3 linked regions of the Arabidopsis thaliana genome follow. The protein of the gene in region 3 interacts with the protein of the main gene of each other region in a biochemical or structural test. Each region holds a gene or a part of one and is shown on either strand. Other genes may lie near its edges. The genes, in order: HYL1, DCL3 and DRB2.

Region 1 (5,219 bases), on a different chromosome or scaffold from region 3:
AAGTCTCCCTTAACAATATGAGCCCAGTTCCCTTCACCACATCGCTTTACAGCGGCGAACAGCTCCTCATCCTCCTCAGCAGACCATCTTTTCCTTTTCCTCCGAAAAGCCATGCTAATACCAGCTGAACCATTTCCATTCATCCCCTCGGTAGATGTAACTTTCTGAAGACAGACCGGAAAGTTGATATTCATCCCTCTTGACGACCAAGGAGACTCTGATGGTTCCTGAGAACCCTCAGGCAAAGCATAAGGTATGTTTATAGTCAAGGGAGCCTCAACTGTTGAATCGTCGAGTATATCAGACTCACTTAGAACATATGAAGCAGCCATCACCTGGGAATACAAGAGAAACGAAAACTTAATGATATTTGGATAAAATGGGAACTCTGGATAAGCACAGATTGATATGCAGAACAAGTAACCAACACACTAATCATTAAGAAAACAGCAAGGTGTTATCCTGAATAGAGCCTAGGGACTTCAGATTCTGAAATTCTGTCAAGGGAATGAAATCTATGATTCCGTTCTTACTTTGACATGTGCAATAGCCTCCACTGATGCTTCATGGCTGACTGCAGGAGAAGCTTCCAATTCGCACTCCATGTCACTATCGTCGTCCTGCACAGGCAACTTTCGTTTAAAAAATCTGTAAACTACACCAGCGAGAGACACTCATCGATCCCTAATGCTACCAAGAAGTTTTAGTATCCACTGCCACATAGAACATAAACTAGTATTTCATCACACTCACTTCTAGATGATACTGATAACACAAAGTAGTAGTGAGTTTTTATTGAAGAAAACTAACTAACTCTACAACATAAACTTGAGTCTTTTACAATTCATCAAAAGTGGAAAGAGGAGAGACAGAATAAGTACCAGAGGTAGAGCATCATCTTCCACAGGGAGGAGAGGATGCCGATAAGAAAGATGACGCCATAGCAACTGGTACTCTCTAGCATTAGTAATTCCGGTAGTGGTCTTCTTCACCAACGCATTCCAGTCCATCTTGGTTTCGGAACAATAAGATATCTCCTGTAGCATTCTCAGTATCGTCTCCATATCATATCTGCGTCAATAAATCAAAAACCCCGGCCACACTGACTAAACCCAAATCCACTAACGTTTTCGGAAAGAGAAAACAAAAAAAGGAGATATTTTTACCTCAGCAAAAGAGTGGCGATGTCGCCTTCAGTAATGATTCTCTTCCTGCGATTGCTACTAGTATTATTATTAGCAACCATCTTCGTCGTATTTATTGCAACAATTCTGCAGAGAACAGGACAAAGGAATCAAATTTCACCAAAACCCGAGGGAGTTATAGACGAAACGAAACGACAGAGACTTACGCACGAGGGAATGCCCAAGAAAACCGGTGAAGACGATCGGAGAAGAAGATGGTCACGACTGTCGAAGAGCGTGGAGAGTACTCGCGTGGCAGAGGTGTTTCGGAAGAGAGAAGAAAAAAAAGGAACGAAAAGGAAGGTGGTAAATTCGACTATTATTATTCTACGCTTATCAGAAGCGAAAAGTATGGGCTCAAATATTTTTCTTTTCTGGTAAAGGGATATAGGATCAAGTGGGCTCAAATATGGGCTCAAATATTTTTCTTTTCTGTTAAGGGACATAGGCTCAAGTGGGCTCAAATATGGGCTCAAATTGTTTTTATTTTTTATTAAACGGTTATTATCATTATTGATGTTTACTTGGAGAACAAATTAATTATTTGTGAATACAAAAACTGTGTGAATATAACAAAGGGATTACTAGTGAATAAAGTTAGCCATAAAAAGGTTAATCAATTGTGGATATATACATTAGTTAACTACATATGAAATACGAAATTAGGCTATATGTAATTAGTTTTTTAATTAAATTAAATATTTCAAAGATAAAAACATTTTGCTTTCATATAATATTCACAAGTAAATTATATTTATGGAAAATTTGACCAAAAAGGTAAATTTATGGAATATAATATAATTTATAAAGGTTTGAAATTAAATTCAATATTAACATTTGTAACATAACAATTAAGAACCACCTTCTTTCGTTTGCCCTTGTGAAAAAAAAACAAAAATAAAAATCAGTAAAGAGGAGGAAGTCGAGGGGAGAGGGTTTTTGGTGAAGAAGAATCATCTCTCTCTCTCTGCTTCTTCGCAGCAGCAGCACGTTTCTTTCTTGCTCTTCGCCGTGCCCTACTAACCTATTATTCGTCTCTTCAGCTACATTCTGCTCGTGAAAATGACCTCCACTGATGTTTCCTCTGGTGAATTACTTCTTCTTCTTCTTCTTCTTCTTCACCATCATGTCTGCATTATCTCTAATTCAACATTCATGGGTTGTTTTTTCCGGGTTTTAATTTTGAAACCAGATCATGCTTTTTCCCCTTTCTTCTGTTCTTTACTCACTTCTTTCTTCTTGGAAATTGGATTGCAGTGTTTTGATTAGTTAGAATTTACAAGTGTATCTGTCCCTTGTGGGTTTAAGCGTAGATCTCTCTGGCAATTGGCAAGTTTACTCTTTTGAGATGATGATTTATTGACTCAATTTGTTAGGGAACATAGAAGCTTGGTTTAAAACTGTCTCTCCCCTTTTGGATAAGTATAGTTTCTTTGTGAAAGTCGTCAGCTTTATTCAGAACTCGTTCACTGCTGTTCCCTGTTGTCGTTTTGAGTTTATTTGCAATTTATGCTGTAGTGGATAGCATCATCACTGTTTCTGTTTTATCTTTTGCCTCATTTTGAAGTTTTTTTCCTGCTCAGGTGTTTCCAATTGCTATGTTTTCAAAAGTCGGTTGCAGGAGTATGCTCAGAAGTACAAGCTCCCAACGCCTGTTTATGAGATCGTTAAAGAAGGCCCTTCACACAAATCTTTATTTCAATCGACTGTGATACTGGATGGTGTCAGATATAATTCTTTGCCTGGATTCTTCAATCGTAAGGCTGCAGAGCAATCAGCTGCCGAGGTTGCTCTCCGGGAATTAGCAAAATCCAGTGAGCTAAGCCAATGTGTTTCACAACCTGTTGTAAGCACCTCATCTTTCTTATTTCGCTCGTGATTATTGTTAAGTTCACTGCAAAACTATTGAACCTAGCCTAGGGGTTTAGCAGCGAATTGTAGCTTTGCCATCTCAGCAGTAGTCCTTATGCTTAGTTTGAGCGTTGAAGGTTTAAAGGGAAGCTCATGGTTAGTTTCAGAGTTGAAGGTTTAAAGGGGAGCTGTGAGAATACGTTAGGGGGCATTCTGTATTTGTCTAGGCTCTTGGTTGGACAATGATCGAGATTCAAGAGTTTAAAGAATCCACTCATTAATAAAGTGTCTTCTGTCTTATCGGATTTATGTGTATTGCCAACTTCTAGAGGGAAGATTCTTAGGCTGTTTCTGTAAGTTATTGCTCTTGTCTAACTTTGAATGGCTTATTAATGCAGCACGAAACGGGATTATGCAAGAACCTACTTCAAGAATACGCTCAAAAGATGAATTACGCGATTCCATTGTATCAGTGCCAGAAGGTCGAAACTCTTGGGAGAGTTACACAATTCACATGTACTGTAGAGATTGGAGGCATAAAGTACACAGGAGCTGCAACAAGAACTAAAAAAGATGCTGAGATTAGCGCTGGGAGAACTGCTCTTTTAGCGATCCAGTCAGACACTAAAAACAACCTTGCCAACTACAACACTCAGCTTACTGTACTTCCTTGTGAGAAGAAGACAATACAGGCAGCTATCCCGCTTAAAGAAACCGTCAAGACTCTTAAAGCCAGGAAGGCTCAGTTCAAGAAGAAAGCTCAGAAAGGAAAACGCACAGTAGCTAAAAATCCTGAAGATATTATCATCCCTCCTCAACCTACTGATCATTGTCAAAACGATCAGTCAGAGAAAATTGAGACAACGCCAAATCTGGAACCTTCTTCATGCATGAACGGGTTAAAGGAGGCAGCATTTGGGAGTGTGGAGACAGAGAAAATTGAGACAACGCCAAATCTGGAACCTCCTTCATGCATGAACGGGTTAAAGGAGGCAGCATTTGGGAGTGTGGAGACAGAGAAAATTGAGACAACGCCAAATCTGGAACCTCCTTCATGCATGAACGGGTTAAAGGAGGCAGCATTTGGGAGTGTGGAGACAGAGAAAATTGAGACAACGCCAAATCTGGAACCTTCTTCATGCATGAACGGGTTAAAGGAGGCAGCATTTGGGAGTGTGGAGACAGAGAAAATTGAGACAACGCCAAATCTGGAACCTCCTTCATGCATGAACGGGTTAAAGGAGGCAGCATTTGGGAGTGTGGAGACAGAGAAAATTGAGACAACGCCAAATCTGGAATCTTCTTCATGCATGAGCGGGTTAAAGGAGGCAGCATTTGGGAGTGTGGAGACAGAAGCAAGCCACGCATAACAGTGTCAAGATGGAGTCTTGTGAGTTTGTCATAGTTACTATATGGTTACGTAGCCATTTTGTGATTCCTATCTAGTCTAGTAGTAATTCACAGATTGAAGAGAAGTAATATTTGAGCGGAAAATCAAAACTAATATGATTGGTACAATTTGGTGGTCGATTGAGTCATTCGAATAAAGTAATGTGGGGTTGCAAAACAGAAGCTTCATATCTACATATAAATGAAAATTACTCTCAAACTTCATTATTTGTGGGCCGGTTATAAAAACACAAACCCAACAGAAGGTCCATTACCCTCACTCTTCATTATTTGTGGGCTGGTTCTAAAAAACAAAAGTCCAATAGAAGGTTCATTACCCTCACTCTTGATTATTTGTGGGCTGGTTCTAAAAAACAGAAGCCCAACTTGCTGACCCAACAGGTCCGTTTACGAAACCCTAATCTCAAAACAGAGATATAAATACACTCTGCCTTCCTCATTTCATTTCTTCGGCGATCTAGGGTTTTAGTTGTCGCACGAGGAGGAAAAATGCCAGCGGGTCATGGAGTTCGGGCGAGAACGAGGGATCTGTTCGCGAGGCCATTCAGGAAGAAGGGTTACATTCCACTCTCGACTTACCTGAGAACCTTCAAGGTCGGCGATTACGTCGATGTGAAGGTGAATGGTGCGATCCACAAGGGTATGCCTCACAAGTTCTACCACGGTCGTACTGGTCGTATCTGGAACGTCACTAAACGCGCCGTCGGTGTTGAAGTCAACAAACAGGTCTGATGAACTCTCCTATCTCTTCAGCTTTTGTGTCATTGAATTAGG
Region 2 (8,101 bases), on a different chromosome or scaffold from region 3:
CTCGAGAACCGTAGCACAGCGTTGAAGGTGGGTATGCAGGTTATTTTTCACTGCAACTTGCGCAAAATTTTCATTGTTTACACATGCAGAACGAAGATCGGTCATCTCTCCAGGCCCAGTTTGTTCGTAGGTGTTAAAAAGATGACGGGTTATTAGAAAATCCAGTACAGAATCGCCAAGAAACTCTAATCTCTGTTTGAGGAAAAAAATGATAGCATGAGGTTGGAAACCTGGGAATAAGTCAGCCAAATAATGCAGGGGTTGAAAATGATGAAGTCATACCTCGTATGAATAGGATTCACGAAGAGAGGAGTGTGTGATAGCCTCTTTTAAAAGAAACTTTGCAGAGAATTCATGTTGGATCTTTCTCTCCAACTCTATGAGCTCATCTTCTTTAGGAATGTAACACCGTAGAGAAACTCTATTGATGGCTTCAACGACTAGGTTTGGGTCAAAATCGACGTCAATACCGAGCCATTTCATCATATGGAGAGAAGCAGACAATCCACCGCTTACATAATAGGCACCAATCAGGGCCTCAGCGCAATCTGATACAGATTTTGAAACTACCCATCTATGACCCATGTCGCAAGACTTGCCTATTTTGATAGTCATGTTTTCTGTGAAGAATTTTGGGTCCAATGGTACTTCTCTAGTATCAATCCCACACTTGCAAGGAACAGGAAAAAGAGAAAATTGACCAGGTGCAGTCCAGCGACGCGGTTCAAAAGCGCCATTTCTTATGTATCCCTATCAAACCAATCCCCATGGAAAGATATTTCTTTGGTGTTCTGACTGATGTAAGACATTACTTGCAAATGTTAGAAGATACCTGTAGTTTGCGACTGGTTGTCAAGCGGTGAAGATTTGAGTTAGATATAATCGATTGTCTCTGCCGTGATAGTTGCCCCTCATCTTTGTCAGGATACTTAAGGAATAGATGACAGCTCGCAACATACTTCAAGACTGAATCCCCGAGCAGTTCCAACCGCTCCATTGAAAATGATTCGGGGCATGTAAGTGTTGTAACTGCTTCAAGAATCTGATTTATTGAACCAAGACAAGAGTTTAATGACAATCAAGATATCTAGTTTCATCTCTAAATGACAGATAGTTTTCAAAAACCATACCGATGTACTTGATATACTGAAGTTATCTATGCTACAATCAATCTCTTCCCTAAGCTGGCTGGCCAACATTAGAGACTCTAGGCGGTGCATCACTGAAGGCAGCAAGTAGATTGATTTTAGCACAGCACGCGGTACATCAATTCTAGCCAAAAGCTCTGGAGGCAAATGCGCATGGATATTCGGTTTTCTTTTCCTAACATTGCCAGCTTTTGGTTCTGTCTTCACAACCACTGTCCATTTACATTGGAAACAACATCTTAGAGCTCACACACTACAATATCATGAGAACATACACAATGATTCCATATGTTGGAGAAATTCTCAAGAATCAACTTACTCTCTTCATTGAAGTCGACTAAAAGGTTGTGCGCATGGTGACTCTGCTTCAACTTCATCAACGGCTGGTTCGGGTGCGCTAAAACAATCCCATACCTGATTAAAAGGGAATAACATTAACTAGAGAGTTATGATAAGTAGATTGAAAGAACAGCCAAAGCTAGAATATCACTTACTTTTTGTTAAAATATTCTGCATAAGTAGCATAGCCTGATGAGGCATCCACCTCAAAGGGGCTCATAGCAGAAGAATCGCTTACGGCTTCAACTATAGAGTATATCCGTCCAGTATGAATTGCAATGACCACAAGTTCTTCGAGACTATTTTTATCAGACGAAGCATTGGCAAAATGAATCAGATTCGTTTCTTCCATTTTATCGTCTAGTAAGACTTCCTGACCGGATGAGGTATTGCACTGATTCCCATCACTATCCCGAAGATCAAGAAGAGAATTTTTCTTCAAGAACTCAACTATTGAGGCACAGGAGTTGATAGCTGACCAATCAATTGTCGCACTCGAAGCTAGATCATTTGTTTCAACTGGTAGCAGTAGAAACATAAAGGCAGGGTGCCAAAGAGAACTAGTGTCAGTTTGAAGCAAAAATTCTCTCTTTGTTCCCTGTGACTTAGATCCAACAAACAACTTTCCAAACATGCCATTAAAGAAAAACTGCTGAAAATATTTTGCTTTGACCAGCTGCATCCAAAACACAAAGAAGAAGACATCAAGTTCAAACCATGAAACAAGAAACTGTTTATAACTAGGGATCAGAGTTATGTACCTCCTCTTGACTCAAACGTATCTGGCCACAAGGTGAGACAGAAGCCTTGACAAGCTTCCTGACCAAGTAAAGGTCCATCTCAACTTTACCAACATCCTCGGCGAGAGTTGACTCAAGCAAAAGAGAGAAACTCGAGTATACTTCGCCAGAAATATTACAACAGAAGTCAAACTTATAAGCCTGAAAGGTGGCGCCATCAATATTTTCTCCCCAGGTTCCTGACAATGCGTTTGCACAGGTTGTTCCGTGCAACTCCTTACGTTTTTTTGAACCTGTTCAGCGAAAAGAAAAAGAAATGTATACATAAATAAACAAATTAAGACAAGCTCCATGACCTTAGACATAGACATATGATATGCAACTGCTGATGTGTGCGTGTATGTGTGTGATACAACAGCGGCTGATAGAGGAACTAAAGACTAAAATCAGCGACACCAGCTAATTGACGAATTAATAAATTAGAAAACATACCTGCAGCCGATGAAGATGATTTACTTTTAGAAGAGGCAACCTTCTCTTTGCCGTTGGATTGTAAGAGATTGTTATCCAAGCGTAACTTTTTACACGGTGGTAACTGCTCATTTCTGCTAGGAGGATCACTCATAGTTTGTGTGGAAGCTGCTTCCTCAGATACAGTTATGTTAGAATCTGGGATAACCATGGATCCAATCTCCTTCACACCGTGTCCATTTTTCACTGGAGGTGGACACGATTTCAAGTTTGGAGCTTCTGGATCTTGAATTAGGACTTCTCTTCGCATAAGGTCATGCAGATGGTCTCTTTGCTTCGGGTTCCCTCTACAATAATTAGTATTCAGAAATAAGCTACAAAAACTGGAATTTGGTAAACATTTTGTGTTAAATAAATATTGCTTCCTACCTTTCAAGAAACATGATAGACTTAGAATTACTCTGTTTGGCATGTTTTTGAGACTGCGAGTAACTACACATTGTTTTGGGCAGGTCAAAACAAACCATGCATGAGCAATCTGGAACCTGAAATCCCTCTTCAACCACATCTGTGATGAATAAAAGATTCACCTACATGCATTAAAAAGCTTTCAGAGAAGACAAAATAAAAACATTTCTCAATCTATAAAACATCTGACTGTGATGAAGAACAGGTAACCTTGCCATGTTGAAATAAATCAGGGATTTCAATTTGCATTTTCTGTGCCGATACATTGGTGGAGGGGTTGTTTTCGGTTAAATACAAGACATTAAGGTAAGCCAAAGAGGCTTCTTTCTTAACGAATCTTTCGATCACTTTCGCAGTTATAATTCTCTCAACTAAAATAAGGCACTGCTTTTGCTTGTCACCTCTGCAAGCAAATTGAAATTGTCAGAACAGATGGAGATCTTGGTGCAATTTTGGGAGTTGGATAAACAATTTAAATTTACCTAAAGGAATCCAATAGATGGAAGAGTTCTTTTAGCTTTGGAGATACATGCCCAGAAATTACTGCTGACAGATGGTTTTGCTGCAAATCTACCAGACTCTTATCATCTGTTAAATAACACAAATGATAAACAGTGTAAAAATTAGTGACTAGAAGAGGACTCAATGCAATATAGAGCTTTGAATACATTACCTTGCGGCAAATACACCCCAATGGTGGATAAAATATCCTCAAGAAATTCCTTGCACACCATTGAGCATTCTTTATAAGTTTCACTTTCCTCTTTCGTATCTGAGATTTTCTCCAAGCAGACTTCAGCCGCCTATCGCGAAAGCAAGATGAAAAAAAAAAGAAAAATAATCAGCACAACAGGTATGCTAGCGGGAGAAAAAAGTAACAATGAGTAAGCAAATGAAGAACTGGTAATAAAAACTAAACTGGTAGAAAAATACCAAGTGTGCGCAAATCAGGCCAAGATTATCAAGGCAATGCAAAATCTCTCTGTAGTCGATAGACAATCTCTTTTGATATGTCTCAAACTTATTATCCATATTCAGAAAACTGTCTTTTCCCAACTCTTGAAGCCTTCTAAGAGAAGCATCAAACTGTACGAAAAAAAACAGAATATTTTTCAAGCACTCTGAAACATAATAGGAAAGAGTCATGTTCTGGATCATATTCAGTGAGCATATATTATATACCTTGAGGTGTGAAGTTTCTAACTTTTCTTTCAATTCCAAACTACAGGATGGTGATGGGTTATACAATATTGGACCTTCTTTAACCGTTGTAGCAAACTTTTCCACTCCTTCACGCTCTTCAGGATTAAAAATCTGAATTCAAAGTAAGATTGCATAGCATTAATTTGTAAACTATATCTGTTTCCTTGTTACACAAAAACAAAGTACCTTTGAGTCCATGAGTCTCTCAAGTTCTGATACTTGAGCTGCATAGTTAGAGGGAGAGGAAACACTTGTAGTATGAGTTTATGTTCCTTACATGAAGTTCAAACATTAAAAAGTAGTTACAGGAAGCAGGATCTTTGGTTTGGCATACAGAGGAAATAAGAAACTTTTAAATAGCATGCCTTTTCTAATGACGGCTGACGCAGTCAATCCAAATATCTTCGGTTTGCTAGTGGATTCGTGATAGAATTCCTTCATGAAAACAAGAAAGAATCTAGTTCGTTGACAAGTTATGGAAACTCTATTATGAAAAAACTAATAGAGCTTATCATTACTGAGAAAACACACCTTCATTAACTTCGCATAGGGATGATTGCCAGTGGTATGGTGGCATTCATCTATTATTAGAAGACATACCATCTCTAGTTTCAGGAATGCACTTCTAAGGACATCCAATAATATTTGAGGAGTCATAACTAAAACCTGAACCATACAAAACATAATTTCATTGCAGATAATAGACTCACGTGGATTCGGCAACAAAAGAGAAGTATGTGATTCTGTTAGTGAGATCAATGCAGTCACAAATCTACGTCAAGGGCTCAAGCAAACAAGTTCAAACAAAATAATTAAGAAATAATCAGCATTGGAAGAAGAACCAACCCCAAAAGTAACAAATTGGAATGGGCTTTTAACTAACTCAGAGAACATTCATGACTCAAAATACAACAATGAGCTGGTCAAAGTGGATTACAACATTCTGCCAAAGTTTCACTAACCACACAAAGAAATTTTGATATAAAATCACCAAAACTACAAGCAAGTCACTTTGTTGGCGTATAACTAGCCAAATATACACAAAAAGAAACAGAAACTTACATCGTGCTTGCTAAATTCCTCATCCCAGCGCTGAGATGTCCATTTATCAACTCCTTTAGCTCCAAAGTACTCTTCAACTTTCAAATTCACAAGTGCTCTGATCTCACAGCATTGCTAAAACCACACACACCAATAAAACATTCAAAAATAAGCTCCCAAGGCGACTCATTAGCCAACATCATCAACTCAAAATGATTAAAATCCAAATGAAACAGTTTTTCTTTTTACAATCAAACAAGAGACTTGCCTGTTTAACAAGATTCACAGTTGGGGCCAAGAAAATTATCAATCTTTTGTCTGTATCAGAAGAACCCATAGCTTTGATAAGCCTCTTAGTGATCTCTGACTTATCAATCCCTGTCCCCAAAACAGCAATTATGTTCCTGTTCTTAGCAACCTCGTACACTTTCAATTCATAACTACTGCCAAAAAAAAAGTAAACTTTAGTGAAAAAGACTAAAAACCCATAAGACCCAAAATCAAGTACAAAGAGAGGAAGATGATGATACCCATTAGAGTCAGTCATCATAGGAGAAGAGACAGAATCAAGATTTTGATCTCCATCGATTTCAGAGAATTTTCTCTTAAGCGAATTGCTTCCCCCACCTTCCTCCATTTTCTCCGGCTCCAACGACGAATGCATGACGAACGGATAAAAAGGAACACACTTAACGGGAAGAGTAGAGGAATTTCGAATTTCGACTTTGAGATTAAAACAAAAAGGTGATTCTTTTTCTCTTTTTCTGCACTGACCACTGGGCAAGTGTATAAATGAGGTCAGAACATGAGTTTCGAATGTTGAATTTTTAACTAGAAAAAAAAACTGCAACAAAATTAGTCAAACTATATTAATTTTTGGGTTACCTTTTTTCGATACTTTATTTTTGATTTTACTCTTTCTTCAAATATTTAGGCCTCTAAGGCCCAATGGACCTGACAAGATGCATAGATTCATTGGATATACTGCTGATTGATTACTTTTCTTCAATGTGCAAGCTGTTTCATGTTGTAAGTAACTTCGCTTTTTTTATTTATCCGGGTAATCTGGTAGAAATGTACTAAAATACTTTAGCGTGGACTTCTTCCCAAATAAACACCACAATGTATGTTCCGAGTTTGGAATGATTTTCGACTAAAAGAAAGCTAAAAATGTAGAAGAGGGGCTGACTTATGTTAATATCATCTAATTCTAATGTCTCTTTCAACCCGAGACAATTTACCTTGTTTTGTCAGAGATTATTTATAATTTGTTAGGTCATGAGGATTTCGGTCGGGTTAAATCATAACCAAACTACATTAACAACTCTCACCTTGAAAATTAGATAAATATAGAAATCGAAAAATGACCAAATTTTGAGAGATTTTGAATACGGAAAAAGAATAAACAAAATATTTTTTTCTAATTAGTGAAGAATTTTCTGAAAGCCAAAGGAGCAGAGAAAGAGATGCAATATATAAGTGAAATCACCAAAACATTACTCATTTTTACATGTTAGATATGTCACTTAATTTGAGAAAATGAGTAATATCTTGTATCACTTGTAGCATGACCATATGCAGCAATGAGTAGTGCATTAGCTCGAGCATTGTCGTCAATTTTCGTTGTCAATTTAAGTGATGGAAACATTTCCAGTGCGAGTTTCCTGCCACCATCCTACGAAGAGAAAAGCAAATATTTTTATTGCAATTGATGTGAGGATAGACATGAAATCATAAAAGTTTGAGAGTTAAGATTCATCACCAAACTCCAAATACTAAGATTAAAATGTTTGTCCCATGTAGAAGGAGTAACGTAAATAACAGAAATGCTAGATGTGAGAAGTGTCCATAATCCACATCCAAGTCCATCATTGTAGGCAGTCTAAGATATAAAGACACAATCATGTTTCAGTGTATCGAATCCATATCATAAACGTACTGAAGTAAAAAAAAAAAGAGATGAGTAATTTTTACAATAGCGTTTTCAGGATGAATATATTTCGCTACAAATGCCTTGGTTCCTACAACAGTGAAGAGACCAAATTGATTTTAAACATAACGCAAAGAACACGCCACAACAAAAACACAGTGAAATATCGTTCTTACCGGATGGAACATCTAGACTACGAATCAGTTCTAGCATTGATTTTTCGTTGAAACTACGTGTTCGGATGTTTTGAACTACAACTTCCAACTGAGGAGTATCATATACCTTCACACAGATTTAACACACAAAACTTAATCCATATCAAAATGACTAAAGTGAATTTTCCACTGTATTCACCAAGAGAACAGTTTACAAAGCATGTCTTATTTAACTTAAGGGATAGATAACAAAACTCACTAACTCAATAGTTACAAACAGGTTAATTAGTTGTAAATCTTCTATCATCCAATATTAATTTCATTCATATAATTCCTATAGATAACAATCGAACCTTGTATATATAAATTATGATAAACCAAGTCCATCTGCCTGAGATTACCCAATGAAATATCGAACCTTGTATATATAATTTATGACTAACCAAGTGCATGTCCTGAGATTACCCAATGGAATATCTTAATTTACTTCACAAACCCTAGAATCTTGTAGTTTCACAGTTCTAGGGTTTCAGAAGAAAAACAATATTCTTTTCGAAAATTAATTAGTAGCGATTCACCTGAGCAAAACAAGATCCCTTGTCGTCG
Region 3 (4,793 bases):
GTAAGAGATTTACCATTTAGCCTCTCAATTTAATAAAATCGTATGAGAAAAGAGATGTGTACAAATAAGCATTTTTCAACATTATTTCAGGTGACATCGACGCTGACTTTTGCAGCAGCTTGTGCATCGGCAGGCATAACGGTTCTAATAGACAACGATCTGAATAGCTGCGCACAAAACCACTGTGTTCAGTTTGAAACATCAACGGCATTAGCTTTCATAAGCTGGTTCGCTGCTTTGCCTTCGTTTCTCTTCAATTTCTGGTCTCTTGCATCCCGTTGACACGATACTGCTCAGCAAGATGTGTTTTCATGGTGTGTTTTTCGGTGTATAGTGACTGATTTTTCTTCTTCTTTCTTGTTTTGGGTTTGGAACCAACTTTCTTCAAACCCAATACTTGGAAACTGGGAATTGTTTTGTAGACGACGACCTTATTCATTTTGTTGTACAATGAAACTATCTGGTCGGCTTTGTTGTATGATTGAAGAAATTTCAGATGTTGAATGCATTATTATGATATGTTGACTGAATTGCAAAAACTATATTGTATAAAACATATGGCTCGTGTGCTGAAATATTTTGACTGAATTTGTTAGCTAAAGGAGAAATTCGAAGTTCCAAAGACTCATTGAGATATGTGTCATAGCTGTCGTGTAAGACAAAGAGCTTGATTCTGCTGGAACAACGATAGGTAACAGATTTATAAAAGATGAGAAAAAGGACACAAACAAACTGAATAGGAAGCGAAACTGATACAATTCTACAATCCAGAGATGGCCAGGTTCTTCCCAAAACTCCCCAATATAATACAAATCTTTCGGATTATCAAACTACTCGATCCACCGAGTATAATAACGAACGAGATTACTAATGTAACAATTTTCAGAAACCAACCTCAAAAAAAACTAAACCCAGAGACAGTCTTCAAGGCATCAGATCTTTAGGTTCTCCAGTCGCTCTCTTGCTGTCTCCGGTTCTCCTTTCGATGAATCCTTAAACTCTGCTCTCTCGGTTTCCTTTGACGCTGTTTTCTCACAATCTGTAATTGTTATAGTACTTCCTTCTACTCCAATTTCAAGACTATCAGGCAAGACTGGTATACTCTCCTTTTCTTGGACTGATGATATGCGGGTTTCTCCTGCCTCAACTGTGGGCTTCACAGCGGTTCTAATTCTAACCGGTGGCGCAGAAGCAAATACGGGCACCGCGGTTCTGATTGTGACAGGCGGCGCGATCCTCACAGGTGGTGCAGTTCGCATCAGCGATGGGACATACACAGAAGAAGGTAGCTGAGTGTTGTTTGTACATGGTGGAGGAGGCATTGGAGGTGCAGAGAAGACCGGTACAGCGGTTCTGATTGTGACAGGTGGAGCCATCCCATGGCATTGCGATCTAAATTGCCTCATAGGAACATAAGGCGGATTTGCAAATCTCTGCTGAGGCCGCTGGTAGCTGCGGCTTTCCAAGGCTGCTGCCATAATTCTGTCAATACCGGAAGTTGCTGCTAAGGATGATCTGCTGCTTCTGGAAGGTTGTTTTGGGCAAATAAAGGGTAAGATTCTCGATGTGGTTGCAGGAGAAGGCTGTGGACTTGTTGGTCTAAGGTTCTGCATAAAGAACTTCTTTGCAAATGGAACTGGGGCACTCGAGGAGCTTCCTGTGCCAATGTTTTCCTTGATACGATAGTTTATCAAAGCTCTTGCTATAATCACCTGTTCTAGTTCGTCAATGTTCTCAGGCTCAGGCATTGAACTTGATGTTTCTTTTGCCACTGTTACCAAGAAGAACATAAAAAACATCAAACCATGTAAGCAGAGTTACATTTGATCAACGCCTGCGTTAAACTAAAACCATATCAAAACTGACAAAATCAGAATTAGGACTCACATTGTTTTAGGGAAGACCAAGCAGCCATTGCAGCATTCTTCTCTGCTTGCTTCTTGTTCTTAGCTGGATCTCCAGTGAACGTAATTCCAGCCAATTCTACAGTACCAGTAAACACAGGTTGGTGACCAAGACCTGACCTGAAAGTAGTATATCGCGGTAAAGGAGCTCCCACTCTTTGAGCTATCTCTTGCAAAAGATTCTTATACACACCCGTCTCATCCTACACAAACCATAATCCAAAAGAACAGAGCCAAGAAAAGTATCATCAGTCATGCAACAAGCAAAACATCAGAAGTAAACATGCATCCAAAATCACAAAAGTTATTTGTTCTACTCATTTAAGTCCCAAACCAATCAATGGGTAAGAACAAGATTCAAACTTTGGATCCATAGATCAGTGAATGTGAAGATCACTCTCTCTAATCAGACAACCCAGAAACCCAAATCCCTAAAAAGCAAGTCAGAGATCTCAGCACCGACCCTAATAAGTAAAAACCTAACCACAAACTAAACCCATCAGTGACCTAAAGCACCTAAAACAACATGCAAATTCAGCATTCAAAGCTCACAATTTTCCAAGTAAAATGCCAAAGAGAGTAAGAGGAAGCGAAACAAACCAAGATCCTGGCGGCAAGAGAGTGAGAAGGACCACGATTAGAGAGAGCATTGAGAGCAACTTCAGCAGCAGAGTGTTCAGCTTGACGAAGAGTAGAACAATACTGAGGACTCTCAAAGATCTCGCCGTTAAAGTTAACAGTAGCCTTGAATCGCGGCGCGTGGTCAGGACCTTCCCTAATACAAGTATACGAAGGAAGATTAAAGCAGCTCCTCTGAGCCAACTCTTGTAGCTGGTTCTTATACATTTCGAAAACCAAATTTACCAAACAAAGAAAGAAACTCCGATTTCGGAGAGATCAAAGCTTTGGTTTTTAGGGCTTTTTCTTCATCGCTAAGGCTCTGTATCTTCGAATCATGGAAAATCGTTGGAGGGTTTAGCTTGGGGAGTGATTAAGAGGCTAAGTTGGGGTGTGAAGGAGATTGAAGATGGTGAAATCGGAGGAAATTTAGGGTTTTTGCAGAGAGAGATAGAGAGAGGAAGAGAGGGAGGAGCAAGAGAGAGAGAGAGTGTGGGGTTTTTGCTTTAATGGAAAAAATAAAATAAAATTAAATGTGAGAATTAATTATCTGCTTTTATCGCTGCTAGTCAACTGAACGTTAGCCTGCATGGATGTGATATTTTTATATTTCCTTTTTATACTATACTAATTTTGTATGTATCTTAATTTATGGATTTAAAAAACAAAAAAAAACATTTAACTATAATCCACCACTATTGTAAGCTTTATAATTTGAATTTTCATAAAACATAAGATTAAATATATATTGAACAATTTGTATAATTGTAAGGTATGAAAAAAATAAGTCTATTTGAATAAACAGGTTAATTCTAGTTTATTAAGTTTTGTTAACGTTTGTAATAACAGAGAAGAAGTTAAAAGAGAATTATGGAAAGAACGAAACGGCAGAATCTATAACAACACTCATCGAAACGGTCGAAGTTATAACAACACTCGTCAAAACGGTTTAACTTTCTTGTTTTTGGCGAAAAAAACAATATGTTTAGTATTTTTAACTTGTTCTAATCATGTGTAGCTAGTTAAACAATGTGTAATCCATGCGACTTCTCAGTTTAACGTTAACTCGTAATTTGAAATCTCGGTCAAAAGAAACAAAAAATTGAAAAATCCGCACAAGTTCCATCATCAACTATGTATAATAGATACATTTTGAATTTGTGAAAAAAAATCATAAACTTTTTTTGGAGAAAACGAAACCGTAAAGTCTATAATAACACTTAGGAAACGGCTGAATACATAAAACACCAAAAAAAAAGACAATTTTGGTTGTCAAATCTTTTTTGGTCATCACATGATTCACATCTACTCCGATCAATTTTTATATTTTTAATACTTACCAAATCTTCTCTATTTTTTTTTTAGCATTCAACTATCTATGAATTGTGAAATAACTGCTTTTACCATTTGAAACAAAAGTTTCTAATTTTGATCTATCCAACCCACATACGTTTTTGATAGGCTACAACCTTGGTTCCATGAAACTTCAATCTCATGGCTGTTCCTCCTTTTTTCACTATAAAGTTGGGTTTAACTTGTTTCTATGTTGAATCTTTTGTTTATTTGTGCGGTCTCCAATTTTGATCTACCACATTGATTCATTTTAGTTTTATAAAAAATAATTGGTTAAAGAAAATAATAGTAAGTTTCTCTAAAAAAAATTAACAAAATTTCATAGATGTGTTTCTAGTATAATTTTTCTTATATATCAATAGTGTGATCTATATGCTTTTCTTCAATAGTAGAAGTTAAATAAAATATTTCATCAAAACAAATAAAAATATGTTCGACTGATGTATAATTTTAACTTAATCATAGAATTAGTGGGAAGTCTGAAGTCGTATTCTAATAAAAAGGAATATGAAAATGGAAAGAAAAGAAAAAACAAAATACTAGAAAACAGCTTGAAACCTAAGAAGTTAGTGCGTACTTTATTTTCATATATTAAAACTTAATGTTCACACATCTCTAAAGAATAATTTAGCTTTTGATGAATTTTGAAACCATGTCCACACAAGTCAATGGGTAGAGAGAGAGAGGAGGAACAAATGTGAAATCATGAAATTACCAAAATGCTTATTACGTTTAGAGAGAGATAAGGGGCATTATCGTAATAAACGCTGTGAGTGATTTGCAGTAGTAAAAGGTGGAATTCATAATCATAGTTAAGCTTAGTGGCCAACATTTACTTTTATATTTGTTTTCGTTTTTCTATTTCAATCTCCCGAAGTTGATGAAGTTTGACTGATCCATCACATAACCACATAAATT

What was found.
Region 1: the proteins of DRB2 (region 3) and HYL1 interact in far-western blotting, tested with the Arabidopsis thaliana proteins (one study listed by BioGRID).
Region 2: the proteins of DRB2 (region 3) and DCL3 interact in far-western blotting, tested with the Arabidopsis thaliana proteins (one study listed by BioGRID).

The regions. Positions count from the first base shown.
Region 1 is NC_003070.9:3,137,146-3,142,364, reverse strand, and holds HYL1 (dsRNA-binding domain-like superfamily protein), read left to right. Parts: upstream 1-2,011; 5' UTR 2,012-2,246; coding exon 2,247-2,271; intron 2,272-2,767; coding exon 2,768-3,030; intron 3,031-3,433; coding exon 3,434-4,405; 3' UTR 4,406-4,716; downstream 4,717-5,219. Other genes in the region: AT1G09710 (Homeodomain-like superfamily protein), read right to left, coding at 1-335, 534-620, 882-1,071, 1,167-1,246; AT1G09690 (Translation protein SH3-like family protein), read left to right, coding at 4,935-5,171. UniProt on the Arabidopsis thaliana protein: Double-stranded RNA-binding protein involved in RNA-mediated post-transcriptional gene silencing (PTGS).
Region 2 is NC_003074.8:15,751,521-15,759,621, reverse strand, and holds the start of DCL3 (dicer-like 3), read right to left. Parts: upstream 6,075-8,101; coding exon 5,941-6,074; intron 5,854-5,940; coding exon 5,679-5,853; intron 5,546-5,678; coding exon 5,432-5,545; intron 5,036-5,431; coding exon 4,901-5,035; intron 4,805-4,900; coding exon 4,731-4,804; exon of another isoform or gene 4,620-4,730; coding exon 4,556-4,619; intron 4,481-4,555; coding exon 4,349-4,480; intron 4,253-4,348; coding exon 4,100-4,252; intron 3,970-4,099; coding exon 3,840-3,969; intron 3,755-3,839; coding exon 3,649-3,754; intron 3,570-3,648; coding exon 3,377-3,569; intron 3,289-3,376; coding exon 3,128-3,288; intron 3,046-3,127; coding exon 2,720-3,045; intron 2,521-2,719; coding exon 2,249-2,520; intron 2,164-2,248; coding exon 1,643-2,163; intron 1,563-1,642; coding exon 1,468-1,562; intron 1,361-1,467; coding exon 1,131-1,360; intron 1,043-1,130; coding exon 833-1,042; intron 751-832; coding exon 283-750; intron 193-282; coding exon 1-192. Other genes in the region: AT3G43910 (MutS2), read right to left, coding at 6,933-7,085, 7,173-7,292, 7,385-7,431, 7,517-7,622, 8,074-8,101. UniProt on the Arabidopsis thaliana protein: Ribonuclease (RNase) III involved in RNA-mediated post-transcriptional gene silencing (PTGS).
Region 3 is NC_003071.7:12,133,166-12,137,958, forward strand, and holds DRB2 (dsRNA-binding protein 2), read right to left. Parts: upstream 3,077-4,793; 5' UTR 2,751-3,076; coding exon 2,505-2,750; intron 2,108-2,504; coding exon 1,888-2,107; intron 1,772-1,887; coding exon 933-1,771; 3' UTR 567-932; downstream 1-566. Other genes in the region: AT2G28370 (Uncharacterized protein family (UPF0497)), read left to right, coding at 91-282. UniProt on the Arabidopsis thaliana protein: Binds double-stranded RNA. May be involved in RNA-mediated silencing.